Linked DNA regions of Macaca mulatta. The protein of the gene in region 2 purifies or fractionates together with the protein of the main gene of each other region. This does not show direct contact. Links are inferred from orthologs where the notes say so. Each region holds a gene or a part of one and is shown on either strand. Other genes may lie near its edges.

Region 1 (3,927 bases), on a different chromosome or scaffold from region 2:
GCCATAAAAATTAAGGTTCTAGCTGGGCACGGTGGCTCACGAATGTGATCCCAGCACTTTGGAAGGCTGAGGCGGGCAGATCATGAGATCAGGAGTTCAAGACCAGCCTGGCCAACATGGTGAAACCCCATCTCTACTAAAAAATACAAAAATTAGCTGGGCATAGTGGTGCGTGCCTGTAATCCCAGTTACTGGGGAGGCTGAGGCAGGAGAACTGCTTGAACCCAGGAGGCGGAGATTGCAGTGAGCAGAGATCACGCCACTGCACTCCAGCCTGGGCAACAGAGCAAGACTGTTTCAAAAGAAAAAAAAAAAAAAAAAAAAGAAAAAGAAAAAATTAAGTTTCCATGAAGCCAAAGACCTTCAATCAGCAAGATGCTATAGGGCAGGGGTCCCCAGCTGCAGGGCTTGTGGTCCGTTACCTGTCTGTGGTCTGTTGGGAATCAAGCCTTCATAGCAAGAGGTGAGCACCAGGGTGGGGAAAGCGGGTGGGGCCATGAGCATTAACATCTAAATTGCATCTCCTGTCAGATCATCCATAGCGTTAGATTCTTACAGGAGGACGAACCCTATTTTGAACTGTGCATGCAAGGGATCTAGTTTGCACACTTTTCTTTGTGGGAATCTAATACCTGAGAACAGTTTCATTTCAAAACCGTCACCCAAACCCATACACCCAACCACATGTTAAAATTGTCTTCCATGAAACCAGTCCCTGGTGCAAAAAAGATTGGAGACTGCTGCTGCTACGGGGTACAGAAATAGCAACTACGTTTTTTTTTTTTTTTTTTTTTGAGACGTAGTCTCTCTCTGTCGCCCCAGGCTGGAGTGCAGTGGCCCAATCTCAGCTCACTACAAGCTCCGCCTTCTGGGCTCAGGCCATTCTCCTGCCTCGGCCTCCCAAGTAGCTGGGACTACAGGCGCCCGCCACCACACCTGGCTAATTTTTGTATTTTTAGTAGAGACAGGGTTTCATCGTGTTAGCCAGGATGGTCTCCATCTCCTGACCTCGTGATCCACCCCCCTCGGCCTCTTGCTGTTTGCCATGAGCTTACAATCTGGTTTGGAAGCCAAACTAGAGCCATTATCAATTATACACATACAACACGACACTGGGATAATACTGTAAAAAATGTTTTATACCTGCTTATTTCACTTATAATACTGTCAACATTTTCTCTACATGTTTAAATATTCTTTGAAGACATAATTTTAAGAAGCTGAATTTGTTAACAATCTCATGGTTGTATTTTGATGTATTTAGCCAATATGCTATTCCTGATTATTTAGCTTGCTTCCCATTTTTTGGCTGCCTGTATACGATGTCTATGAATAATACAAAGCACTTCTAATTAATTCTCTAAGTAATAATAGAATTACTGTGTCGTGGCCAGGCGTGGTGGCTCACGCCTGTAATCCCAGCACTTTAGGAGGCCGACACAGGCAGATCACGAGGTCAGGAATTCAGACCAGCCTGGTCAATATGGTGAAACCCCCATCTCTACTAAAAATACAAAACTTAGCTGGGCACGGTGGCGCGCGCCTGTAGTCCCAGCTACTTGGGAGGCTGAGGCATGAGAATGGCTTGAACCCGGGAGGCAGATGTTGCAGCAAGCCGAGATGGTGCCACTGCACTCCAGCCTGGACGACAGAGCGAGACTCCCTCTCCAAAATAAAAAAAAAAAAAAAAAAAAGAATTGCTGTGTCAGCTAGGTGTGGTGGCTCACACCCGTAATATCAGCACTTTGGGAGGCCAACGCAGGTAGATTGCTTGAGGCCAGGGACTGAACACCAGCCTGGCCAACACCGTGAAACCCCGTCTCTACTAAAAATACAAAAAATTTGCCGGGCGTGGTGGCGCACGCCTATAATCCCAGCTACTCCGGAGGCTGAGGCGGGAAGATCACTTGAATTCAGGCTGCAGTGAGCTGAGATCGCACCACTGCACTCCAGCCTCTGCGACAATGATAACGATACACATTGCCAAAACGTTTTCCAGAACGGCTGTAACAATTTACATTCCTACTCAGTTTGATTTCCCTCTTTTTCAAAATAAATGAAAAAGAAGGAAAGGAGGAAGGAAGATAAGAATTTTTTTTAATGCTCTGTTAATTTGATAAAGGGAAGGCGTGACTTTAAGTTTACTTATTTATTCAAACATATATTTTATGACTATACATGTTATGAATGCCATTGTATTAATAGTACTTCTGTTTAACTGACCTTACCAACTAGGTCGGCCAGTAGGCCAGTCTTCAAAGCCTCTAGATCCTAAAACCGTGATTTTTAGACTTTTAGGGGGTCATAGAACCCTTTGAGAATCTAATGAAACCTATAATCTTGTACCCAGGAAAATCCACATACACCCAAACACGCTGCCCAGTTTCCAAAGGCTGATGAATTTTACGGACCCTTCTGTTAGGAATGCATCTCTAAAAGTCTATTTTCCTTGGCTATTTCCTCTTAAGAAATAAAACAGACATCCCACTTCCGGGGCCTCGCAGCCCAAAACTAAAACCAAAATCAATTTCAATTCAAAGCATCACAACCACCCACCCAGCTCCAACCAGGGAATCCCTCTGGCTAAGTCAGGGCCGCGCGGGGGCGTCTGCAGTTCATTGATGTCCGGAGATGAAACGTAGCACATGAAACCACTAGGCATATATATCTTGTCCCTCGGAGAAAGAAAGCACTTACGACACATTTTCATGGCTGTAACCGATTTTGGCGTTGTAAGCTCCGTTATCCAGCACCAAGGTCGTCATTTCACCACCAACCACACCGCAGCCGCCGTTGTTTTCCCTTTCCGACCCCTCTGCTCGAGCCTTTTCCGGTACTCTATGGTTTGTTGGGCGGAGCATTAGGACGCGCCTCTGGTCACCCTAGCAACGGTGAACGCCGGAAGTCGGAGATGCTAAGCCCCACAAACTGTTAGGGAGTGTCCGCTGTGCTTCCAAACTTAACCTGTTTATGTGGTGGCGAGATTTGACTGCTAAGTGCTTTCTCGCTCATTTCGTATTTGTTTTTAACTGCGCAGATTGATTTGCGCAACTTTTTTCTAATCCTGTAGAGAACCGGCTGCGTGCTGTGTGTGTGTGCTTGTGTGTGTATATGTGTGTGTCTTCCGATAGCATTCTTCAGACGGTGACATTCTTTGAAGAAAAAAGTGCAAAACCATACGCAGTAAGAAGGTCTATCGACTGCCTTGCTCTTGGACTCACATTCATACCGTCCTCTTCCCCATTCCACTTGCTCTTCAGGACGCAGCTGAGTCTTTCTCATCCAAAAATGGCTTTTGGACCGGACGCGGTGGCTCACGCCTGTAATCCCAGCACTTTAGGAGACCGAGGCAAGCAGATCACTTGAGGTCAGGAGCTCGAGACCAGCCTGACCAACACGGCGAAACCCCGTCTCTATTAAAAATACAAAAAGTAGCCGGGAGAGGTGGCAGGTGCCTGTAATCCAAGTACTCGGGAGGCTGAGGCAGGAGAATTGCTTGAACCCGGGAGGCGGAGGTTGCAGTGAGCCGAGATGGCTCCACTACATTCCAGCCTGGGCGACAGAGCGAGACTCCTGCAGTGCGGGGACTTGGCAGGTGCGGGAGGCAGGACCTGGCCTCCGGGGCGCCGCGGGGGCAACGGCCAGCGGGCGGGGGCAACGGCCAGCGGGCGAGGACAACTGCCAGCGGGCTTGGAGGGGCCGGGAGGCGACTGCAAGTCCCAGGCCACTTTGAGCGCCTGCAGGAGGAGCGGGGCGGCGGGGAGGGGGCGCCTCGGGGGCAGGGAGCGCAGCAGTGGCAGCGCGAAGGCGCGGGGGCCCGGGCACCTATGGTTGGCGCGCAGGCAGCGATACCGGGGCCGGAGCCCGGCCAGAGGAGGTCAGCGACGGCAAGGGGGAGGCCGAAGAGCCCGGGGCGGGTCCCGCGCG
Region 2 (2,803 bases):
GCGGGAACAGAGGGCTTCCTGGACTCCTGAGTCTGGGACCTTTGGAGGCAGCTTGGGAGGTCAGCGGAGGCGCTGGCCCCAGGCACATGCTCACTCCCCTATCCACACATCCTCCAGATGCGGGTGCTGCAGGCGGCCCTGCTGCCCCTGCCCCAGGTGGTGTGCACCTACCGCGAGGTGCGCTTCGACTCCATCCAGCTCCCTGGCTGCCTGCCTGGCGTGGACCCCGTGGTCTCCTTCCCTGTGGCTCTCAGCTGTCGTTGTGGACCCTGCCACCGCAGCACCTCTGACTGCGGGGGTCCCAAGGACCACCCTTTGACTTGTGACCACCCCCAACTCCCAGGCCTCCTCTTCCTCTAAAGACCCTCCCCCCAGCCCTCCAAGTCCATCCTGACTCCTGGAGCCAGCAGACACCCCGTTCCTCCCGCAATAAAGGCTTCTCAGTGCGCACTCTGGAGGTGTCTTTCTGTGGGCTCAGGGCAACCACACACAGAGTGGGTGCAGCTTCAAACCATTTTATACAAAGTCACAGTGTCAGAACTCTGGTAGAAAACAGGGTGGGGACAGGGGATGACATCCAGCTCAGGAGGTGTCCATGGTCTCACCTTCTGTGGGGAGAAGGAAGGCCACATGGTCAGTGTGGCCCAGGGGGCAGGGCCTGAGCCTTCTAGGCCGAGCTCCCTCTTCCTCCCCGAGGTTGGCTCTGGCAGTGCAGGTGCAGGGTAGGGATTCTTACTGAGTTCATTGAAGAGGAAGGCGTCCTGGTACTCCTTCATGTACTGCGTGGAGCGGGACTCGTCCAGGAAGAGTGAGTAGACCCGCTTGATGTCATCCACCTGCACTTCTGTACCCTGGAGGGGGAGGGCGGGTCCTGAGTTGGGCCCCTCTCCGTGAGGCTCACGGCACAGACCCCAGCATATGTCACCTCCATGCTCTAGGCAGCAGAGGGTGGCATGTGAGGGGAGGGCATTCTGGCCAGATCGCCTGGGTTCAAAACCTGCCTGGCCATCTCCTGGTTGTGGGCCCAGCCTCTTCATTCCTCAGTTTCTTTATCTGTAAGGTGGACCTAACAGCATCTACTTACAGTCAACAGAGATTTACTGAGCACCTACTGTAGGCCAGGCGGGGAGATACAGAAGACAACTTGAGGGATGAAAATTCCCTGCCTCTGAAAATGTACATCCTAGGTTGAAATTGGAACCCTGGCAGCCCCTGAAGTAGTGCGTCACTCACTGCCGCCATCTGGCCCTGCTGGCTAATTCGGCAGGCTGACCTTGCGTTTCCGGCACACCAGGCTTGCAGCCGTGATGAGCTGGATGGCGTAGCGCAGTGACGTCTCCAGCCCGATGCGGGTCAGCACCGTGTAGGCGTCCTCACTCATCTCCACATCTTCCTCCTCGCACCTGCAAGCAGTGGGGGACGGGGGTGGCTCAGCCAGGGCCCAGCCTCTGACTGCAGCAGAAGTGGCCACAGCAACCCTCTGGTCCTTCCCCACTGGGAATATGTGGCGCCTGCATCTTAGAACCATAGAATGCTGAGGCTAGAAGAGCCACGGAGACAGGGGCTGGGCTGGATCTAAAACCTAGGCCTCCTGACCACGCCCAGGGCGCTGGCCCCCACACCGGTCACGGGTACCTCGCCTCCCTTTCCCACCATGGCTCCTGCTCCCGGATCGGCGGCCACTGTCTGGGTGCCAGATCAGCCCTCTCTCTTGCAGGCCCAGCCACCATGCCAGTCCGCCAGACCTCAGTGTCGGCATTTGTCAAACAGGGTAGACCCCAGCCCCGCCTCCCAGGCGCACGGTCTGGTCCTGCCCGCACCGGATGCGGAGGATCTGCTTCGTGTCTTTCTCGCTGTAGGGGGTGGTGGAGACGATAAGCAGCCGGTCCAGCAGGTCTATGGGGATGCCGTGGGGGCTCTGGTAGCTGGTGCCCCGGATTCTGAGGAAGAGGCAGAAAGAGGGGGCTGTCAGGGGGATGTTCCCTTTTCATTCCCTTTGCTGGAAACACTCCCACCTCCCATCACCACCCACTCAGTGGGCCCAACACCACTTAACCTTTAGCTCGTGTCTCCTGTCACATGATGACATCACCCCCTGATGACGCAGCCTTCCACAACTGTCAGTCCCCCAAGGACACCTTTCCGCAGAGCTGGGCTGCTTTAAGCTAGCTCTCTGCCTCGAGGATTACTGGATCAAGGTCCCACTCCCGTGCTCGACATGAAGCTTCACAAAGGAGGGGACAGAACCTGTCTTGTTCCCTGTTGCAGCGGGGCCCGCCCAGGGCTGGTACCAGGGTATACAGTCAGTTCCCCTTATTCACCGCAGTGAGGTTCTAGAGAGTCACCGTGAACACTCCAATTAGCCGATCCTGAGCCACTGCTCCTAGTGGAATACAGGGTTAGGCTCTCTTGAGCCTTTACTCACAGTATTTTCGTCAATCAATATATATATAATCTGGGTCTATGTGTGTTTTCATTTGTGTGTTTCTGTTATTTTTTTTTTTTTTTTTTTTTTTTGAGACGGAGTCTCGCTCTGTCGCCCAGGCTGGAGTGCAGTGGCCGGATCTCAGCTCACTGCAAGCTCCGCCTCCCGGGTTCACGCCATTCTCCTGCCTCAGCCTCCCGAGTAGCTGGGACTACAGGCGCCCACCACCTCGCCCGGCTAGTTTTTGTATTTTTTTAGTAGAGACGGGGTTTCACCGTATTAGCCAGGATGGTCTCGATCTCCCGACCTCGTGATCCGCCCATCTCGGCCTCCCAAAGTGCTGGGATTACAGGCTTCAGCCACCGCGCCCGGCCTCTG
Region 3 (3,500 bases), on a different chromosome or scaffold from region 2:
AAATGATGTTAAACTTCTCAAGTTAAAAAACACCTAACCAAAGCACCTAACAATACACATAACAGGCTTGCAGCTCAAGACATCTATAGGAATGGCATGCACACTCCCTTTGCGGCCACAGAACCTTTGAAGTTTTAAGGATTCCTTTTCTGCTGCTGTCCATAGGCCATGGCTGGCCTGCCTGCTCACAGAGCTAAGGAATCCTGATGACATGCTTACTTCTGGTACATATTGGACCCATTAAATGAATAGCTCTAAGGTTCATTCGCTAAGAGGGTGCAGAGCATTTAAAGTCTTAAGAGACAATCCAACAGTAGCTAAGCTTTCACAAGTTAAAAAACACTGGTACTTTACATGGAACCACAAAAGACTCAAACTAGCCAAAGTGATCCTAAGCAAAAAGAACAAACCTAGAGGAATCACATTACCTCACTTCACATTATACTATAGAGCTACAGTAACCACAATAGTATGGTACTGGCATAAAAACAGGCACATAAACCAATGGAACAGAATAGGGAACCCAGAAACAAATCCACACAGCCACATTGAACTCATTTTTGACAAAGGTACCAACAACATACACTGGGTAAAAACCAGTCTCTTCAATAAATGGTGCTGGGAAAACTAGATATCCATATGCATAAGAACGGGACAAAATATCCGCAAACTACCCATCTGACAAGGGATTTAAAACCAGAATATATAACGAACTCGGCGCTATAGGAAAAAAATCTAATAATCCAATCAAAAAACAGGCAAAATATTTGAATAGACACTTCTCAAAAGAAGATAAATAAATGGCAAACAGGCATATGAAAAGGTGCTCAACGCTGATCACCAGAGAAATGCAAATCAAAACTACAATGAAATATCATTTCACTCCAGTTAAAATGGTTTATATCCAAAAGACAGACAATGACAAATGCTGGAAAGGATGTGGAGAAAAGGGAACCTTTGTACATTGTTGGTGGGAAGGTAAATTGATACAACCACTATGGAGAACAGTTAGGAGGTTCCTCGAAAAACTAAACTGAGCTACCATAGGATCCAGCAATCCCACTGCTGGGTATATACCCCAAATAAAGGAAATTAGTGTTATCAAAGAGATCACAATAGCCAAGATTTGGAAGCAACCGAGGTGCCCATCAACAGATAAATGGATAAAGAAAATGTGGTACATATACACGATGGAATACTATTCAGCCTTAAAAAAAAAAAGAGATCCTGTCATTTCCAACAACATGGATGGAACTGAAGATCATGTTAAGTGTAATCAGTCAGGCATAGAATGACAAACATTGCATGTTCTCACTTATTTGTGGGAGCTAAGAATCGAAACAATTGAACTCATGGACAGAGAAGAGTAAAAGAATGGTTACCAGAGACTGGGAGGGTAGTTGGAGGCTGGCAGGGAGGTAGGGATGGTTAATGGGTACAAAAAAAAAAAATAAAGGCAGATCACCTGAGGTCAGGAGTTCAAGACCAGCCTGACCAACATGGCAAAACCCCATTTCTACTAAAAATACAAAAAATTAGCCAAGTGTCATGGTGTGCACCTGTAATCCTAGCTACTCGGAAGGCTGAGTCACGAGAATTGCTTGAACCTGGGAAGCAGAGGTTGCAGCGAGCCAAAGTCACGTCACTGCACTCCAGTCTGGGCGAAAGAGCAAGACTCTTGTCTTCTTAAAAAGCAAAAACAAAAACAAAACACCAACAACAAAAACAAAAAAATCAAATGAATGAACAAGACGAGTAAGACCTACTATTTGATAGCCTACTATTTGATAGATTATAGTCACAGGGTGACTATAATCAATAGCTTAAGTGTATATTTTAAAATAACTAAGGTGATAGATAAATAACTAACAGTAAAATAGGATTGTTAGTAACACAAAGGAGAAATGCTTAAGATGGACGCCCCATTCTCCACGATGTGATTATTATGTATTGCATGCCTGTGTCAAAACATCTCATGAACCCCATAAATATATACACCTACTATGTAACCACAAACATTTACAATTTAAAAAATAAACATCCCCTCTTACCCATGCAGATTGCTTCTCCTTTGGTGGTGATAACCACAATCTCCTGATTGACCTCAATGCCATCCTCATATCGAAGAACACCTGGAAGCATGATCTTGGCCCCATAGCAGATAGCATTTACCTGCAGAGATGGCACCATGTGTGAGGGGCCCAGCTGCTGCCTTCCACCCCACTCCCACACCAGAGTAAAGGAAGACAACAAGGGGGTGGGGTCTGACACCATGAAACAGGGATGGCACTGATAGCCCACTAGCTGCAAGGGGCATGAAGGGACTCAGAAGAGCAACAGCCACCTCACTGTGCTAGGCACCACTCTCTGTACTTTACACACACGACTTAAAAGTCGTAAAGAAGACTTTCAGGTTTTCAGGTTCTAGAGACTCACAGGTATTTTCATTTTATTTTTTTATTTTTTGTTTTCCCGCAGAACCTCCCTCTGTCGTCCAGGGTGGAGTGCAGTGGCACGTTCTCAGCTCACTGCAACCTCCACCTACAGAGTTCAAGTGATTCTCGTGCCTCAGCCTCCCAAGTAGCTGGGATTACAGGCATGCGCCACCACGCCCAGCTAATTTTTGTATTTTTAATAGAGACAGGGTTTCACCATATTGCCCAGGCTGGTCTCAAACTCCTGAGCTCAAGCAATTTGCCTGGCCTGGCCTCCCAAAGTGCTGGGATTACAAGTGTGAGTCACTGCACCTGGTCGGTATTTTCATTTTAAACATAAAAATAGCCTTGGCATTCCTTAACTGCTCCTCTCTCCTCCTTATCAGGAGAAAGAATAGATTTACTAGAGATCCAGGCAATAAGAGGCTCCTAAAGAACTTGAAAACAAGATTACTGAGGCCGGTTGAACCAATCACACAAAAGTCTTGGTGCAGAATTTATAGATCAGTAGGTACAACTTAAGGCTTCCTCTCCAGAAGTTCAATGGTGCCCAAGGCACCCATCTGCCTCATGCCATCTCCACTCACCTAGATCTCTTTTGCTGATCACATTTGACCCTCCCTTTACATTCACCCAGAAGCCAATGGTTTGATAAGGAGAGGTTATCACATTTATGTTGTCCACTGTTTTGTGACTGAGTTTTTTCAACTATTATGGTGCCATCTTTCAGTATTTATTACAGCGTATATACATACAAAATATGCAAACATCTGTACAAGATTTGAATATAAATAATTACCAACTACAAACATTTTAAATATCCAGAAATTTTTATCCCTCAAGTTAGAGAAAAGAGAGTATGCTTTAATTTATAAAAGGCCAACTCTCTGATCATCATAAAAACACAGCTCACAGCCTTGATCTCCTGGGCTCAAGCGATTCTCCCACTTCAGCCTCCCAAGTAGATGGGAATATAGACATGTGCCACTACACCTGGCTATTTTTTATTTTTGTGACGACAGGGTCTTACTATGTTTTTTTTTTTTTTTTTTTTGAGGCGGAGTC
Region 4 (4,183 bases), on a different chromosome or scaffold from region 2:
TATTTTAAAAAACGTCTATGGCTGCCTGATATTGCCTAGATAATTTAAACTCATCAGAAGGGCATCTCAGGCCCACTCCGTATCATTCCAAACTTGAAATTTGAGCTTCCTTTCCTCCCATGGCCCTCCCCCTTCTTTCCCATTAAATACAATTAAAAACAAAAACACCTGACAGTCCCAAACAGCCCAGAGCCTTTAGTCCCAAGGTTTCCTCAAGCTTCAATACATTTTCAGAATGAAAATCCCTCTAAGCCAGAATAAGGAGTCAGTTTATGGATGAGTTTGTTATAATGGTTACAAACACTAACTTTAGTGTCAGAATCTGAATTAACTCCCAGATCTGCCATTTACTAGATGTGTAACAACCTTCTTTGTACAAGTTAATCATTCTTCAAGAATCATAAATCTCTCTTCTGTAAAGGAGGGAAATAACAGTAACTATCCATGAGTTACTATGAGCATGAAATGAAAATGCAAAGAGCTCAGTGGTTGGCACAATAGGTGAGCATTCAGAAAATAGCTATTATTACCAGCTCCCTTCCCCTAAACTCTAAAAGCCTAGAGTTCAATTCTTACTGCATAGGAAATCATATTTGCTTACAGGGTGCCTCCCCAGCTACACTCTCCGTTCTTCAAGGAGAGGGACCAGGTTTTATTCGTCCTTGGTATGCCACAGCAAACTGTATTTTTTTTTTTTTAAGACATAGTCTTGCTCTGTTACTCAGGCCGGAGTGCGATAGCACAATCTTGACTCACTGCAATCTTCGCCTTCCAGGTTCAGATGATTCTCTCACCTCAGCTTCCCAAGTAGCTAGGACTACAAGTGCGTGCCACCGAGCCCAGCTAATTTTTTTATATTTTTAGTAGAGATGGGGTTTCACCATGTTGGTCAGGCTGGTCTCAAACTCCTGACCTCAAGTGATCTGCCCACCTTGGCCTCCCAAAGTGCTGAGATTACAGGCGTGAGCCACCACACCTGGGGGCAAACTGTATTTTCAAAGAATGCCCATCTCACAGCACTCTTCCCAACCATGAAGGTCTATGTCCCCTCCTCTTAAAATTCAGCAGGCTCTGGGACTGTTTTGATGAATACAATAAAGCAGAAGTGACACCGGAATTAGACCTTCAACATATGAATTTGGGGGCAAGAGTTGGGGGGGTGCCCATAAATAATCCATCCACGGCAACGGGTAAATAATAAAACCTCATTGTAATACTCTCCTAATAACAAATGAGATAATCCGTATAAAGCACCAATCTGGAGTAAAAATTCAATAAATATTTGCTACCACCATAATCTTCCTATTCTTCACATCCTGGCTTAAATATCGCCTCCCCAGAAAGGCTGTTCCTGACTACTTTATAAAATATGGGCCCCTTTTCATTCTATATCATGCACTTCTTTCTCCTCATAGCACCTGCCACAATTAGGTAGACGGCTAGTTTATTGTTTTCCTCTCCCCAGTGTAAAGTACATGAGGGCAGAACTTTGTCTTGTTCAGCGCAATAATCCCAACACTGAAACTCAATAAACAAACTAAAGAAATAAGTGAATTAAGAAACTGGAAACTGCAATATATTCAAATAGGTACGTTACACGGTATAAGGGAAATCCGAGCAAAACTGGTTCAGGAACAGCGAAAAAACCACCTTGACTGGTGGAGAAGGTTTGTATCACAAAAGTACTTGGGTGGGAAAAGCAGGCTGCAGCTGCACTTGAGAAAAATTAGGAGGATGGATAAAGAGAAGGACAAAAGATTGGCAATGCTTTACGATGAATATGTAGCAGCGGGTTCTGTGGAATGGGGTTAATAGCAGTGCTTATCCCTAAGCAACACTGTCAAAGTTAAATGAGATACGGCATTACAAAGCACTTAACGGAACTGCTTGTCCACCACACTGCGGGTGATCAGTGTTAGCTGCTACTAAGGTTACGATTCTGCAAGGAGAATAATTTAAACAGATCAAGTACTGACGGCCCCTCACGAAGACTTGGGGGAAATAACCACACATCAGGGGCAAAACCAAACAGAGAAGCAGCAGACAGCAGGGAAGCACGAGAACTAGGCTAATATGGTGTCAAGAGGTCCAAAAAAGGTAAGAATTTCAGGAAGTAGGGAGGGGACAGACAAGAGATGGATCAACAGAAGGCTGCCTGAGCAAAGTTAAAAGGACCGATGGGTTGGGAAGTCACGGGGATGTCAGCGCGCGCCGTTCGTAGGGAGGGAGAGACTGGGAGAGCGAACGCGGAGTGAAAGAACAGAACAAGTCAAAATGGAACGAGAACTAGGGCGACAGGGCAGAAACGGGCAAGTGACACGGTCCAAACGCCACTTTTTCAAGTGATTCCGCAATCCTTTGATGTGGGATTTAAGAAAGCTTAAGAAGGAAAAGGGCTTCTGCAGCATCTAAAACGCACCCCTGGAAGAGGGAGGGCATTGCCCTGTCACCAAGAGAAGCTGTGGAAACGTCGGGAAATGGCATTCGCGCAATCGAGAACTGCTCTCTCGACCTTGCATTCTCCCTCTAAAGCCGCTATCTAACGAATGCGCCTTTCCTGCGGCCAGGCACCCAGAACTCGCCTGAGAAAGTAGGGCTTGGCGTAGAACTTGAAGTCGGACCCCTCAAAGTAGACGTCGAACTCGGAGACCCGGGCGTAGGGCACGCGGATGGCGATGGTCAGGAAGTCCGGATCCTGGCTGAGGTCGAACGCCGGGGTCAGCATCGCCGCACCGGACGCAACAGCCGGCGCCACTCGCTCTCACTGCCGCCGCGTTCCCGCCACGCAAACTCTACAATTCCCCACGCGCAGGAACCCGCGGTGTGAGCCACAGAGCTTCCGGCTCGAGGCGGAAGTGCTCTCGCGTGGGGCAGGAAGTCCCGCCCCACGCCGATCTCCACGGAGACGGGACGCCGTTCGAGAAGAGGTGGAACTTTCGAAACCGCCGGGAGGAGAAAGGACGTGGCGAGTGGTGCCTGGGCCCAGGCATTGGACCGACCGGATGACTAGCAACCAAGCCTTTTGCGAGGTTTTTAGAGATGATTTTAACAACACTGGCTTGGCAGGTGGACAGACGTGCGTTTGAATCCCTTCCTGGCCACAACTTCCCAGCTGTAAGACCTTGGGAAAGTTACAAAACCTCTCTATATCTTCTGTGAAACGAGGATGATACGAGAACCTGGCCCCATAGAGATGCTATGAGGGTAGCATGAAGTTGTGCATGTAGAACTCTAATAACGAACTTGGCAAGTTGTCAACGTTTGATGTGCTGAAGTAGTCACCGCAGTAGCCACAGCAGCACCGTTACAGTGGTTTCCCTTAGTCCTCACCTGCCTTATTAACAATTCCTCTTACACTTTCCCTTTCCTCCCTCTCTCTTTCCACTTCTCTTTTTCTGCAGCTTTCTCTCTCATTCTTAACCGCTTATTTGAAGAGTTTTCTCTTTAACAGATCATCCATCCCACTAATCTCATCTAATCCACGCTGCAAACTCTAAAGAAAACGACTCACAGAGGTTAAGAGTATATTTTATAACCATGCATTTTACAGTGATTAGAACTCAGAACGTTTGCCTCTTACACCGTGTCGGTGATTGCATTCACAAATTAAGATCCCTCTGTATTCCCCTTCTTTCCTTTTTCTCACTCTTGTCCTTACACTTGTCTGAGGACATCTTTTCTGTGTTTTGTTTTTTTTTTTTTTTCCTACTTGTCTTCCCTGTATTTTCTCCCCTTGGAGTGTGCCCCTTATACTCTCTCCGTGCCTCTCCCACTAGTCTCCCTCTTCCCCCACATATTCCCTTGGTCTTTCCACACATGTCGTTTCCTGTTATTCCACCACTAATTAGAATAATCCAGTTGCGGTATTTATTCCATGGTTTTAAGTATCAGTGGAAAGGAGATGAAAGTCATATCCTAGGACAGTGGAGATAACCAGAAAACTTCAAAAGACTTTTCAATCTCCAACTGTTTTATGATTCTAAGGAAACATTGTTGAAATTTCATTAGGACTCAGAAAAAAAAAATAACGGGCTAACATTAACTGAATACTTACTATGTGCTAGCACTGCAGCAAACTCTTTATAATGATCTCATTTTCCCTCCTGACAGCTCTATGAAGTAGGCGTTATATATTCCCTTGGCTTGCACAGGATCTCACAGTTAGTAAGTGGTGCAATGGGAA
Region 5 (4,298 bases), on a different chromosome or scaffold from region 2:
GAGAGAAGGAGAGAAGGAGAGAAGGAAAGGAAGGAAGGAAGGGAGGAAGGGAGGAAGGGAGGGAGGGAGGGAAAGACAACCGATATTAAAGGAAAAAAATGTAAAGGAAAAATTACCACATTTACATTTGTCTTTTCAGCATGGATGACACTCTCACGTTGAAAAATGCATGTCACAAGAATTGTGTGTGACATATCCCCAAATTTCCACATTCAAAAGTCAGGGATAATACGGTTTTCATCCGGGAATCAGTAACTCATGGGAAAAGCTCAAGATGTCATTCATTTTGGAGACCAGATGTAAAGGAGTAGTATGGGTACTTTGTCTCAAGGTGGAAAGTGCCTTTCTTATGTTTTTTTCCTTCCCATGGGACTTGTTGCATACTCTTAAAATGGCGGCAGGGCAGACACGTTTGCTTGCACAGCTGTGAGCTGCATGCATAAAAGCAGGGATGGTTTTGGCCTAAGGCAGGGATGGTTTTGGTCTTATCCGTTATGGCATCCCCTTGTGGCACATGTTAGGTGTTCAAAAAATATTGGTGGAATGGATGTGATTACACTTCATGCCACAGTATATAAATATGATTTTAACTGGACAGGGAACTGCACAAGTTTCCCATATTGATCCTTTTTGCGATCTTAATTATGGTACTCTGAGCTGGGATACTGCCTAGACTGCCTGGGCTACAACAAACTCTAAAGGGCTTTTACTTTCACGCCCACAGTGGTTGAGGGTTCGCGTTCTGTGAATGCTGGAACCTCACGCGAGTAGCTGAGTAGCGAGGATGGTCACTCCCGGATAAATGAATACAGGATTCTCGCGGCTGGGAGCGGTCGCCCGGCGAGGTCGGTCATCCTGCCTGTCCGGTAACACCACGAAACACCTGCCACTGATACCTCCCCACCAGCTCCCGAGGGTTCGCGCCGGCATCCCGAGCCGCACCCCCTGTTCCGCCGCAGCCGGATTCCCTCCAGGGCGGGTTACGCCCCTAGGCGCAAAACAGAACCACTTCGCATCAAGAAGACAAAGTATAACCAGTCACACCAAAAAGAGGCAGCATTATTTAGACAGCCGGCTACTCCCCCAGAGACTCCACCCAGTCCCCTGGGCCCGGCGTTCAGCGCGCCGACGGTGCCCGGCTCCAGGAGCTCCAGCTCCCTCCACGTGTCCTGTCTTCCCAGCAGCCTCCTCTGCCGCCTCTGGAGGAAAATCTCCTGACAACTCGCGGTCTGCGGACTACGACTCCCAGGAGGCGCCGCGCCGCGGCTCTCCCCGCCCCCTTTCCGGGACGCGCAGGCGCCCTGGGCTCCGTCTACCAGCCTGGCTGGCGACGCCTGGATGCGGTTTCTTCCGGGATTTGTAGTTTTTCTGGAGTTACCCGGGCCGTCTGTCAAAGGGACAAAAACTACAAGTCTCGGCTGCCCCAGCGCTGCGAGCTTGGTCACGTGGCGGGGGCCGACCGGGCGTGCGTGCCGCCGTTGATCCGGTGCTGCAGTGAGGAGGTGGTTCTTGCCCGTGTTGTGTGTGTGTGTGAGTGAGAGAGCGAGTGAGTGAGTGAGTGAGTGTGTGTGTGGGGGGACTCGGCTTGTTGTTGTCGGTGACTTCCCCCTCCCCTTCACCCCTTCCCCTCCCCGCCGCCGCTGCAGTGGCCGCTCCCTGGGCTGTAGGAAATGAGCGATAACGATGACATCGAGGTGGAGAGCGACGTGAGTCCTGGGGCTTCTTCCTTCCCGTGCGGGTTGTCAGGCGGGGACAGCGGCCGGGGCTCTCAGCGGGGCGACGGCGGGAGGGGGCCGGGCCGCCGCCGCCTCCTTCCCCTTCCCCTTTCCCTCGGGGCCAGGACTGCCTCCGTCGCGTTCCCGGCTCGCTCCCCTCCGGCTCCTGGCCGGAGCGGCCTCCTGGGACTGGAGGTGGGGGGAAGACACGCGGCTTCTGGGACTCCCACCTTCTCCCGTGGGGGAGGGTGCTGCGGCCTCCCGCTCCCACCTTCCCGGGCTCAGGATCCGGGGGACAAGGATGGGGGGCGCCCGGGATCCCATTGTCCGGATCCAGGGGAAGGGGACGGCGTTCAGGACCTGCCCCTTCGGAACGCGATCCTCTCCTCCCGTGACCCGCGGATCCTGGGGGGCGAGGAAGGGCGGAGAGGGGTTGGGGGTGCCTAGATGCCCGAGCTGGGTCTGCAGGGAGGAGACAGTGCTCGAGACCCCTCTGGCCCGGGTCGGATCCCGGAAGGAGGGGCGGCGCTCGGGACCCCTCTATCCCGCTACCGGATCCCGCCGAGGGTGGAAGGGTGGGGGCAAGGGGTGGGGAGGGAGGAAGGGGTGTCGGGCTGACTCCCCACCCTCCGCTTCCTCTGCCGCCGGCATTTTCTTTCTTATTATTGAATGTTAAGTGTAAAAATAACTTCTATATTTTCTATTTTTTTTTCTCTCCTATTCCAGGAAGAGCAACCGAGGTTTCAATCTGCGGTACGTCTCCTACTCTCCATTTCATTTTTATTTCCGTTCAGTTCTATTCCTTTTTGGGGTCAGAGAGAAAAAGAGATCGTACTGTTACTTTTAATATTGTAGTAAATCACTAATGTTAACCACTAAGGTGAGGTGGGGCCTGGTTCTGGAGGGTGGGGGAGTTGCAAATCCTATCATTCTAGATTCTCAGGTGATAAGTTCAGTAAGAGGAGCTGTATGCAAAGAATTGAATTGTTCTGTAGTTTTCAAATAGGGGATCCAGCTGCCGCTATGTAAGTGGAAATGAGAAATGCAGCATTCTGAAGTCAGTGGTAGTATTATTTCAGGGCAAAGTGGTCAGAAGATTTATTTAGGAACAAGTAGATTTTAAACCATATCTGTATAATTATGTGAAGCTGAAGCCACATGCAATAATCGCCTTTAACCAAGTCATGTGACTGCTCTAGACCTGTAGAATCTAGCACAATGTGGTATTCTAACACAAAAATTGGAAATGTAGAGGAGCCAAACGTTGCATCATCAAAGTGTCACATAAAGTTATTATGGTCTGATTCTCTGTATTTGAAGAAGAGGTATAAAGAAAATTAAAAAATAGCTGAAGAAAAGTGGCATTGCAGGAAGAGCTTTGCTGAAAGGTGATGGATGAGACCATATAATGTTATCAATAATTTCTTAGGGTTTTGATATTAATGTTCCCAGTAGATGGTTCTGTGGATTTAGATATGCACTAATTTCATGTCTTTGGAGTCTGAGACAGTAATATGGGTTTTTCATGAATAGATTAGAGGGGAAAAAAAGAAAACATATAGAATAAATCAGAATCAGAGGGGAAGAGAAATAAGTATATCAGAGTTCTAATATTTGAAATTGGGAACAGTAGGAAGTGTATAGAATGGGGGTAAAAAATTTGAATGCCCATGAGGGCCATAAATAATAAAGAAAGAAGAGGTGAGGACTTGGGTACTGGAGAGCAATGCCTCTCCTAAAAAGTCAGCCACTACTGAATTCCAGTGGTTTGTTATGTAGGAGTGAAGGGTCAGTATTGCCAGATCTTCCTATTTTTTATTTTATTTTATTTTATTTATTTATTTTTGAGATAGAGTCTCGCTCTGTCACCAGGCTGGAGTGCAATGGTGCTGTCTCGGCTCACTGCAACCTCCGCCTCCTGGGTTCAAGCGATTCTTCTGCCTCAGCCTCCTGAGTAGCTGGGACTACAGGCGCACACCCCCACATCCAGCTAATTTTTGTATTTTTAGTAGAGACGGGGTTTCACCTTGTTGGCCAGGCTGGTCTTGATCTCTTGACCTCGTGATCCGCCCACCTCGGCCTCCCAAAGTGCTGGAATTACAGGCGTGAGCCACCGCGCGCCCAGCTGATCTTCCTATTTTTTAAGAAAGATTAGAAATCCAAAGCGTTATGTTATTTTTCTGATTTTTAAAATGATGTGTGGAACAACTGTTTGGGCTTGTTAGAATTTGCAGGATGTCACTTTGATACCTCTGGTATAAGAACCTAATAACCACAGGATAAAGGCAAGCCATCTCAGTTGTACCTGCTCTTCATTAGAGCAAGCAAAGATTATGCAGGTTGTCTAAGCAAATAGGCATTAAGAAAACTTATTTATTGAGAGCTCGTATTTTCTTAAAATCCGGGGATGTAGTTGTTCCAGAAATCTTACAAATTATCCCTGGGTAATAGTCATTAAAGATAATTTATTTTGTTTTATTTATCCTTGAAGTATTCTCATATACTTATGCATATATTTGAAAATTGAATTTGTTTTTTTCGTTTACTTTTATCCTTCATGTTTGGGGCCTAGTCTGTTGAAAA
Region 6 (2,979 bases), on a different chromosome or scaffold from region 2:
CTGCACTTAATGAGATGGATGAATAGTGGTATTTAATAAGATACTTAATGAAGAGTCAGTTTTGGAGGAAAAATAGGAGCTCAAATATTTCTTTTTTTTTTTTTTTTTTTTTTTGAGACGGAGTCTCGCTCTGTCACCCAGGCTGGAGTGCAGTGGCCGGATCTCAGCTCACTGCAAGCTCCTCCTCTCGGGTTCACGCCATTCTCCTGCCTCAGCCTCCCAAGTAGCTGGGACTACAGGCACCCGCCACTTCGCCCGGCTAGTTTTTTGTATTTTTTAGTAGAGACGGGGTTTCACCGTATTAGCCAGGATGGTCTCGATCTCCTGACCTCATGATCCGCCCATCTCAGGCTCCCAAAGTGCTGGGATTACAGGCTTGAGCCACCGCGCCCGGCCTCAAATATTTCTTAAATACTGCTTTTTGTTTTTTTGAGGTGGAGTTCCTCTCTGTGGCCCAGGCTCCCAGGCTGGAGGGCGGTGGCGCGATCTCAGCTCACTGCAACCTCCACCTCCTGGGTTCAAATGATTCTCCTGCCTCAGCCTCCGGAGTAGCTGGGACTACAGGCACCCGTCCCTCACGCCCGGCTAATTTTGTATTAGTAGAGATGGGGTTTCTCCATGTTGGTCAGGCCGTGGTCAAACTTCTGACCTCAGGTCATCTGCCCGCCTTGGCCTCCCAAAGTGCTGGGATTATCGGCGTGAGAGCCACCGCATCCGATCCCAACTGCCCTTTTATTCGTCTGTGTCCTCTAGTGCATTTTATTTGTCTGTGTACAGCGCAGGGATGCATCGCCTTTCTGAGGCTTGGCACAATTAGTGGCCCAGGGTAGGTGTTTAGTAAAGTGGATTTCTGCCACAGCGCATTATAGAGCTAAAGAGAGAGGGTTTTCTCTTTAGATGATCGGGCCACGTTTTGGTGTGACCGCTAGGGGGAGAGGTGGCACCGGCGGAGCGCTCGCCAGACCCATTTTTCCGCTCCTTGCGTCATCGCACAGGGCGGGGCTCGTACCTGACGCCCGGCGTCTGGGCCTGCTCTCACCCTACTAGGGAAAGGGGTGGGGCTCGGCTTTCCGGCGTGGGCGGAAATTGCTCAGAATCCTCGGGAGCTTTGCGAAACGACAGACCGTCGTCGACCCCGCGGTGAGCCGGAAGTAATTGAATAAGCCCCGGAAGTTTGGAACTATCGCCGGCGTGCGTTCGCAGGTAGATCGCGGTGCCGGTTGCTATGGAGCCGGTCGGGCCTTGTGGTTTCTGCCCGGCGGGGGAGGCCCAGCCCGCGCGTTACACCTGCCCTCGCTGTAATGCGCCCTATTGCTCGCTGCGCTGCTACCGGACGCATGGCACCTGCGCAGAAAACTTCTACCGTGACCAGGTGCTGGGAGAGCTCCGCGGCCGCAGCGCCTCGCCCAGCCGCCTGGCAAGCGCCCTACGCCGGCTGCGTCAGCAACGCGATACCGAGGACGAGCCTGGGGAAACAGGCCTTAGCCCCGGCCCGGCGCCCGGCGGCCTCTCGGGACTGTGGGAGCGGCTGGCGCCGGCCGAAAAAACTGCCTTCGAGCGGCTGCTGAGCCGTGGTGAGGCCGGGCGGCTGCTTCCTCCATGGCGGCCGTGGTGGTGGAAGCGCGGAGCCGGACCGTGGCGGCTTCTGGAGGAGCTGGATGATGTCCCGGGCAGTGATGCCGCGGGGCTGGAGCCCGCCCTTGCGAGGACCCCGCCGGAATCTATGAACGATGCCTTCGCCGCGGAGCTCGCGGCTGCCGAGCTGGTTCTTGGAGATGTCCCGGGGGCCTGCACGCCCGCCATACCCACCCGCATCCCCACGCTGGTCAGCCTGAGCCGCGGCCCAGTCTCGCCGCTCGTGCGCTTCCAGCTGCCCAATGTGCTGTTCGCCTACGCGCATACTCTCGCCCTGTATCACGGCGGTGACGACGCACTGCTCTCTGACTTCTGTGCTACACTGCTCGGCGTTTCCGGAGCCCTGGGTGCCCAGCAAGTCTTCGCCTCTGCGGAAGAAGCCCTGCAGGCCGCAGCCCACGTGCTGGAAGCAGGCGAACACCCGCCTGGGCCCCTGGGCACACGAGGGGCTATGCACGAGGTCGCTCGCATCCTGCTGGGTGAGGGCCCGACCAACCAGAAAGGCTACACGCTGGCAGCACTGGGAGACCTGGCAAAGACCCTGGGCCGTGCCCGGAAACAGGCTGTGCTTAGAGAAGAGCGAGATCATCTTTACCGGGCCCGGAAAAAGTGCCAATTCCTCCTGGCCTGGACCAATGAAAATGAGGCGGCCCTCACACCCCTGGCTCTAGATTGCGCCAGGGCTCACCAAGCCCATGCTGTGGCAGCCGAGGAGGTGGCCGCCCTCACTGGGGAGCTGGAGCGGCTTTGGGGAGGCCCCGTGCCACCTGCCCCAAGGACTCTCATTGAGGAGCTCCCTGGCTGAACTGGGGACCCTGGTCATTAATAAAGCTGTGAGTGGTCAGCCCTGTTGCCTGTTTCTGAAGGATAGCTATTGTCCTACCAGGCCCCCAGAGTCCTGGGCCCACAAGCCACTGCTCAGCTTCTCCCTGATCAGTGCTGACCCAGCCAGTCCTAGGGGAGAGAAGTGCACCAATGGTTCCCAATGTTTATCCAAAGGAGGAAGAGCATCTCCGATTTTGGTCACTGGTTTCATTTTTTTCCTTGCTCTAAACCACCTCTTCTCTGAGGCTGTTCATCCTCAGGGCTGGGTGGGGTACAAGCCCTTGAGTCCCAAGTGTGTCCAGGCTCCTGGTCTTGGGTGTGCTGGTGGATGAGTGGGCATATGCCCCCACCTGGGGTGGTGGAGCCGCTTCAGTAGATGTAGGGCACGATGCGGTAAGGCACACGCCGGCAGTACTCCTGCCATGCCAGGCCATACTTCTGCAGGCACTGCCGCTCATCCCGGGCCTCACGGTGCACCAGCAGCGCGGTGAAGTAGAGGAGGTAGAAGTAGGGCAGCAG
Region 7 (3,979 bases), on a different chromosome or scaffold from region 2:
CTAGAAGAAAAAGGAAAAAATGAAAAGTTTAACTTGTTTCCATGTGGATGACAGAAATCTGACATTTTCACATAGTGGCTGAAAACTGATGAGGACATTATCTAATAAACATTTCAGAGGACATGGGCAAGAATAAAATGTAGGCTCACTGCTAAAGCAACTATGATAAACTCTTTTTTGCACGGGATCATTATACATTGCAAAACTAGTACAAATCACCACTATGGTGGTCACTTGGCATCATCTAGCAAAATGTTAAAGGTGTGTATCATTTGACGTGACAATTTTATATGTAGAAATGCATCCCACAGACATACTTGGGCAAATTATATGTACAAGATTATTCATTTACAGCACTGAACCCGAAAATGACTAGAAATAAATCAAATATCCATCAAGAGACTACTTAAGTTATGGTACATCCACACAAACTAAGTAACTGGCGGAGTGGGCGAAGGGGCGGGGGCGATGCTTTCTGTGTACTGATACAAAAATCTAGATACATTAAGCAAAATCTAAAAGTGGAGAAAAGTGTGAATATTACTTTCTGTCTTTAAAAAAGGAGAAAAATCCCATTTATATTTGCTCAAATATGCATAAAGAAACTGTGGAGGCTGGGCGCAGTAGCTCACACCTGCAGTCCCAGCACTTTGGGAGGCTGAGGCAGGTGAATCACCTGAGGTCAGGAGCTTGAGATCAGCCTGGCCAACGTGGAGAAACCCTGTCTCTACTAAAAATACTAATATTAGCTGGGCATGTTGGTGCACGCCTGTAATCCCAGCTACTAGGGAGGCTGAGGCAGGAGAACTGCTTGAACCTGGGAGACGGAGGTTACAGTGAGCCAAGATTGCACCACTGCACTCAAGCCTGGGCAACAGAGCAAGACTGTCAAAAAAAAAAAAAAAAAAAAAGAAACTGCGGAGTGATTAAAATCTATTGTAACAGTAGTTACCCACTGTGGAGAGTTCAAACTGGGCAGATGGTGGGTAAGAAGGAGACCTGACACTTTAATTTTTTTTTTTTTTGAGACAGGGTCTCACTTTGTTCTTGGCTCACAGCAGTGTCAACTTCCAAGGCTCAAGCGATCCTCCTGCCTCAGCTCCCCAAGTAGCTGGGACTATAGGTGAGCACCACCACACCCAGCTAATGTTTCCATTTCTTATAGAGAGGGGGTCTCCCCTGTTGCCCAGGCTGGTCTTGAACTGCTGAGCTCAAGCGATCCACCCACCTCAAGCTCCCAAAATGCAGGGATAACATGCGTGAGACACTGTACCAGCCACCCCACTTTAACGTTTTTAAACTTTCTGGCTTGTGAGCTGAGAATGTATTACCTAGCCAAAAATTATGCTTTAAAAAATCTTTTTTTCGAATTTTTCTTCTACTGAGATAACAGTTAAAAAGAACAAGTACTATAATGATGCTAATAAATTTCTAGAACACAAGATATAAATGAGACAGAAGTTTAAACAGCTTTAAAAGTTTAAGTTTTTGGCTGGGCACAGTGGCTTACGCCTGTAATCCCAGCACTTTGGGAGGTTGAGACAGGCAGATGGCTTGAGCTCAGGAGTTTGAGAACAGCCTGAGCAACATGGCCAGACCCTATCTCTCAAAAAAAATTTTTTAAAAAGTTTAAGCTTTTGCTTCAATTTTTTCCATCTCATTTATCAGAAGTAGCTGAGGGAATAAAGAGAGGAGATGTAAGGGGTGGCCAAGGAATTGAGAGCTAGAAGAAAATAAGATTTGCATTAGTAGATATGGAGAATAGAAAAGGCAGCTATGAAAATACACTAGATTCAACTAAGAATTCTGTTTTTTTTTTTTTTTTTTTTTTTTTTTTCAAGACAAGAGTCTTACTCTGTCATTCAGGCTGTGGTGCAGAGGCGCAATCTCAGCTCACTGCAACCTCTGCCTCCTGGGCTCAAGCGATGTGGCCTCAGCCTCCCGAATAACTGGGATTACAGGCGCGCGCCATCACACTCGGCTAATTTTTGTATTTTTAGTAGATGCGGGATTTCCCCCATGTTGGTCAGGCTGGCCTCAAACGATCTGCACGTCTCGGCCTCCCAAAGTGCTGGTGGGAGCCATCGCGCTCGGCCACTACTAAGAATTCCATATGCGCAAAGAAACAGATATTATACATTGGTCCAGTGTAGCAGAATACATATCATCTGAGAACTGTGACATTGTGAGAACTGTGACACTGTGAGAAGAGGAAATTTAAACGCCATCCTTTAAGACAATTTACTTTGACTTACAAACAGCATGAAGAAATGTCAGACTAAACCGAGTCCTCCCACCCTCCCCCCCGATATTCTCTGTCCCGATATATTTCCAGGGCCTTCCACACTGCCTGACACAGGCTGACACTCAACACTTCAGCTATTCAGTAAGTCGACTGTGGCTTTAAGGAAAAATTTTAAAGGGTGCTCTTTGCTTCAAATTCAAAACCACGGAATTTATCTTACGGTTCTGCACGCTACTTCACTACAGGAAGCGAGGATCAGATCTAAGGGAACGAGAAAGTGCAGAGCAGCAGTGAACCTAACCGGGAACATTAACGCTGTGTTCCCTGCACCCTCTGCCTCTCCCTACCCCAGTTTCGTTCCCGGCCTGAAAGGTGTGGGAACAAGGCTAGGGACTGTCCGGCCGGCGGGAGGGAAGGCCCCAATCATCAATCCAATCAGTTCCCCAAGCTTCCCTGCTGGACCGCCGTGGCATGTGTTTCACCTACCCTCATCCGCGTCGTACATATTGCCAAACGGTTCCCGAGCTCCTAACTCGAAATCAAAGACAAAAAGCGCGCAGAAGCCACCAGCGTCGGGAGCTAAAGACCAAGTAACTTCCGTCTCCGACGTTCCCAGAATACTGTGCGTCTCACACAAGAGGCCGCCCACAGGGACGCCAAAGTTAGGATCTGCGCCTGCGCAAATTGTAGGGCAAGCTTGGGCGGGAGTTGGGTTGCACACGCGCAAATTGTGGGCCGCCGCTGCCGGTGGCTGATTGAGAGGACAGCTCCCGCAATCTGCTGTCGCATCCGTCCCGTTAATGTTTTATTTCTGCTTGTTTTTCAATGTCGTTGCACAAATAACGACACCTGAAAACAAAGCCAAGTATACTTATTAATAAAAAGTGCTCGTTCTGTGAATCCGCGACATTGGGATGCTCAATTGATTTGCCTTTATAAAGACCAAAACACGAAGCAATTTTTATTTTTATTTGTTTATTATTTTTTGAAATGGAGTCTCGTTCTGTTGCCCAGGCTGGAGTGCAGTGGAGCGATCTCGGCTCACTGCAACCTCCGTCTCCCGGGTTCAAGCGATTCTCCTGCCTCGGCCTCCCAAATAGCTGGGATTACAGGCGCGCGCCACCACGCCCGGCTAATTTTTGTATTTTTAGTAGAGACGGGGTTTCACCACGTTTGCCAGGCTGGTCTCGATCTCAGGTGATCCGCCCGCCTCGGCCTCCCAAGGTGCTGGGATTAGAGGCGAGCTGCCCGCTCGCCTACCGTTCCAGCCACGCGCCCGGCCAGAAGCTCCGTTTTGTTTTGTTTTGTTTTGTTTTGTTTGAGACGGAGTTTCGCTCTGTCGCCCAAGCTTGAGTGCAGTGGCGCGACCTCGGCTCACTGCAAGCTCCGCCTCCCGGGTTCACGCCATTCTCCTGCCTCAGCCTCCTGAGTAGCTGGGACTACAGGCGCCCGCCACCACGCCCGGTTTATTTTTTGTATTTTTAGTAGAGACAGGGTTTCGCCGTCTTAGCCAGGATGGTTTCGATCTCCTAACCTCATGATCCGCCCGCCTCGGCCTCCCAAAGTGCTGGGATCACAGGCGTGAGCCACCGCGCCCGGCCCGGAAGCTCCTTTTTAAATGTGATTTATTACGGGCGGCTTGGGCTAGCAGTGAGGCGTTAAGCCTGAAAGTGAAAAAACTCAAAACGCTCATCGCTCTCTTCTGCCCATCTAGCTCAATCCTCCAGTGCCTCC

The links.
Region 1: the proteins of RUVBL2 (region 2) and ACTR6 purify together in Homo sapiens (co-immunoprecipitation; 7 studies listed by BioGRID and IntAct, counting the BioPlex papers as one, with this or other methods). This does not show direct contact. The link is inferred for Macaca mulatta from reciprocal best matches to the Homo sapiens genes RUVBL2 and ACTR6.
Region 3: the proteins of RUVBL2 (region 2) and DKC1 purify together in Homo sapiens (affinity purification with mass spectrometry; 5 studies listed by BioGRID and IntAct, counting the BioPlex papers as one, with this or other methods). This does not show direct contact. The link is inferred for Macaca mulatta from reciprocal best matches to the Homo sapiens genes RUVBL2 and DKC1.
Region 4: the proteins of RUVBL2 (region 2) and SHQ1 purify together in Homo sapiens (affinity purification with mass spectrometry; 4 studies listed by BioGRID and IntAct, with this or other methods). This does not show direct contact. The link is inferred for Macaca mulatta from reciprocal best matches to the Homo sapiens genes RUVBL2 and SHQ1.
Region 5: the proteins of RUVBL2 (region 2) and MAX purify together in Homo sapiens (affinity purification with mass spectrometry; 3 studies listed by BioGRID and IntAct, with this or other methods). This does not show direct contact. The link is inferred for Macaca mulatta from reciprocal best matches to the Homo sapiens genes RUVBL2 and MAX.
Region 6: the proteins of RUVBL2 (region 2) and ZNHIT2 purify together in Homo sapiens (affinity purification with mass spectrometry; 5 studies listed by BioGRID and IntAct, counting the BioPlex papers as one, with this or other methods). This does not show direct contact. The link is inferred for Macaca mulatta from reciprocal best matches to the Homo sapiens genes RUVBL2 and ZNHIT2.
Region 7: the proteins of RUVBL2 (region 2) and POLR2B purify together in Homo sapiens (affinity purification with mass spectrometry; 3 studies listed by BioGRID and IntAct, with this or other methods). This does not show direct contact. The link is inferred for Macaca mulatta from reciprocal best matches to the Homo sapiens genes RUVBL2 and POLR2B.

What each region holds. Positions count from the first base shown.
Region 1 is NC_133416.1:107,551,678-107,555,604, reverse strand, and holds the start of ACTR6 (actin-related protein 6), read right to left. Parts: upstream 2,801-3,927; 5' UTR 2,766-2,800; coding exon 2,698-2,765; intron 1-2,697. UniProt on the Homo sapiens protein: Required for formation and/or maintenance of proper nucleolar structure and function. Plays a dual role in the regulation of ribosomal DNA (rDNA) transcription.
Region 2 is NC_133424.1:61,470,578-61,473,380, reverse strand, and holds the end of RUVBL2 (ruvB-like 2), read right to left. Parts: intron 1,941-2,803; coding exon 1,821-1,940; coding exon of another isoform or gene 1,802-1,820; intron 1,430-1,801; coding exon of another isoform or gene 1,404-1,429; coding exon 1,274-1,403; intron 852-1,273; coding exon 737-851; intron 609-736; coding exon 583-608; 3' UTR 501-582; downstream 1-500. Other genes in the region: LHB (lutropin subunit beta), read left to right, coding at 118-360. UniProt on the Homo sapiens protein: Possesses single-stranded DNA-stimulated ATPase and ATP-dependent DNA helicase (5' to 3') activity; hexamerization is thought to be critical for ATP hydrolysis and adjacent subunits in the ring-like structure contribute to the ATPase activity.
Region 3 is NC_133426.1:161,062,818-161,066,317, reverse strand, and holds part of DKC1 (H/ACA ribonucleoprotein complex subunit DKC1), read right to left. Parts: intron 2,173-3,500; coding exon 2,052-2,172; intron 1-2,051.
Region 4 is NC_133407.1:136,344,080-136,348,262, forward strand, and holds the start of SHQ1 (protein SHQ1 homolog), read right to left. Parts: upstream 2,801-4,183; 5' UTR 2,726-2,800; coding exon 2,583-2,725; intron 1-2,582. UniProt on the Homo sapiens protein: Required for the quantitative accumulation of H/ACA ribonucleoproteins (RNPs), including telomerase, probably through the stabilization of DKC1, from the time of its synthesis until its association with NOP10, NHP2, and NAF1 at the nascent H/ACA RNA.
Region 5 is NC_133412.1:138,199,677-138,203,974, reverse strand, and holds the start of MAX (protein max), read left to right. Parts: upstream 1-1,498; 5' UTR 1,499-1,670; coding exon 1,671-1,706; coding exon of another isoform or gene 1,707-1,910; intron 1,911-2,441; coding exon of another isoform or gene 2,442-2,468; intron 2,469-4,298. UniProt on the Homo sapiens protein: Transcription regulator. Forms a sequence-specific DNA-binding protein complex with MYC or MAD which recognizes the core sequence 5'-CAC[GA]TG-3'. The MYC:MAX complex is a transcriptional activator, whereas the MAD:MAX complex is a repressor.
Region 6 is NC_133419.1:9,260,525-9,263,503, forward strand, and holds ZNHIT2 (zinc finger HIT domain-containing protein 2), read left to right. Parts: upstream 1-1,225; coding exon 1,226-2,440; 3' UTR 2,441-2,479; downstream 2,480-2,979. Other genes in the region: delta(14)-sterol reductase TM7SF2, read right to left, coding at 2,830-2,979. UniProt on the Homo sapiens protein: May act as a bridging factor mediating the interaction between the R2TP/Prefoldin-like (R2TP/PFDL) complex and U5 small nuclear ribonucleoprotein (U5 snRNP).
Region 7 is NC_133410.1:76,509,928-76,513,906, forward strand, and holds the start of POLR2B (DNA-directed RNA polymerase II subunit RPB2), read right to left. Parts: upstream 2,801-3,979; 5' UTR 2,751-2,800; coding exon 2,732-2,750; intron 1-2,731. UniProt on the Homo sapiens protein: Catalytic core component of RNA polymerase II (Pol II), a DNA-dependent RNA polymerase which synthesizes mRNA precursors and many functional non-coding RNAs using the four ribonucleoside triphosphates as substrates.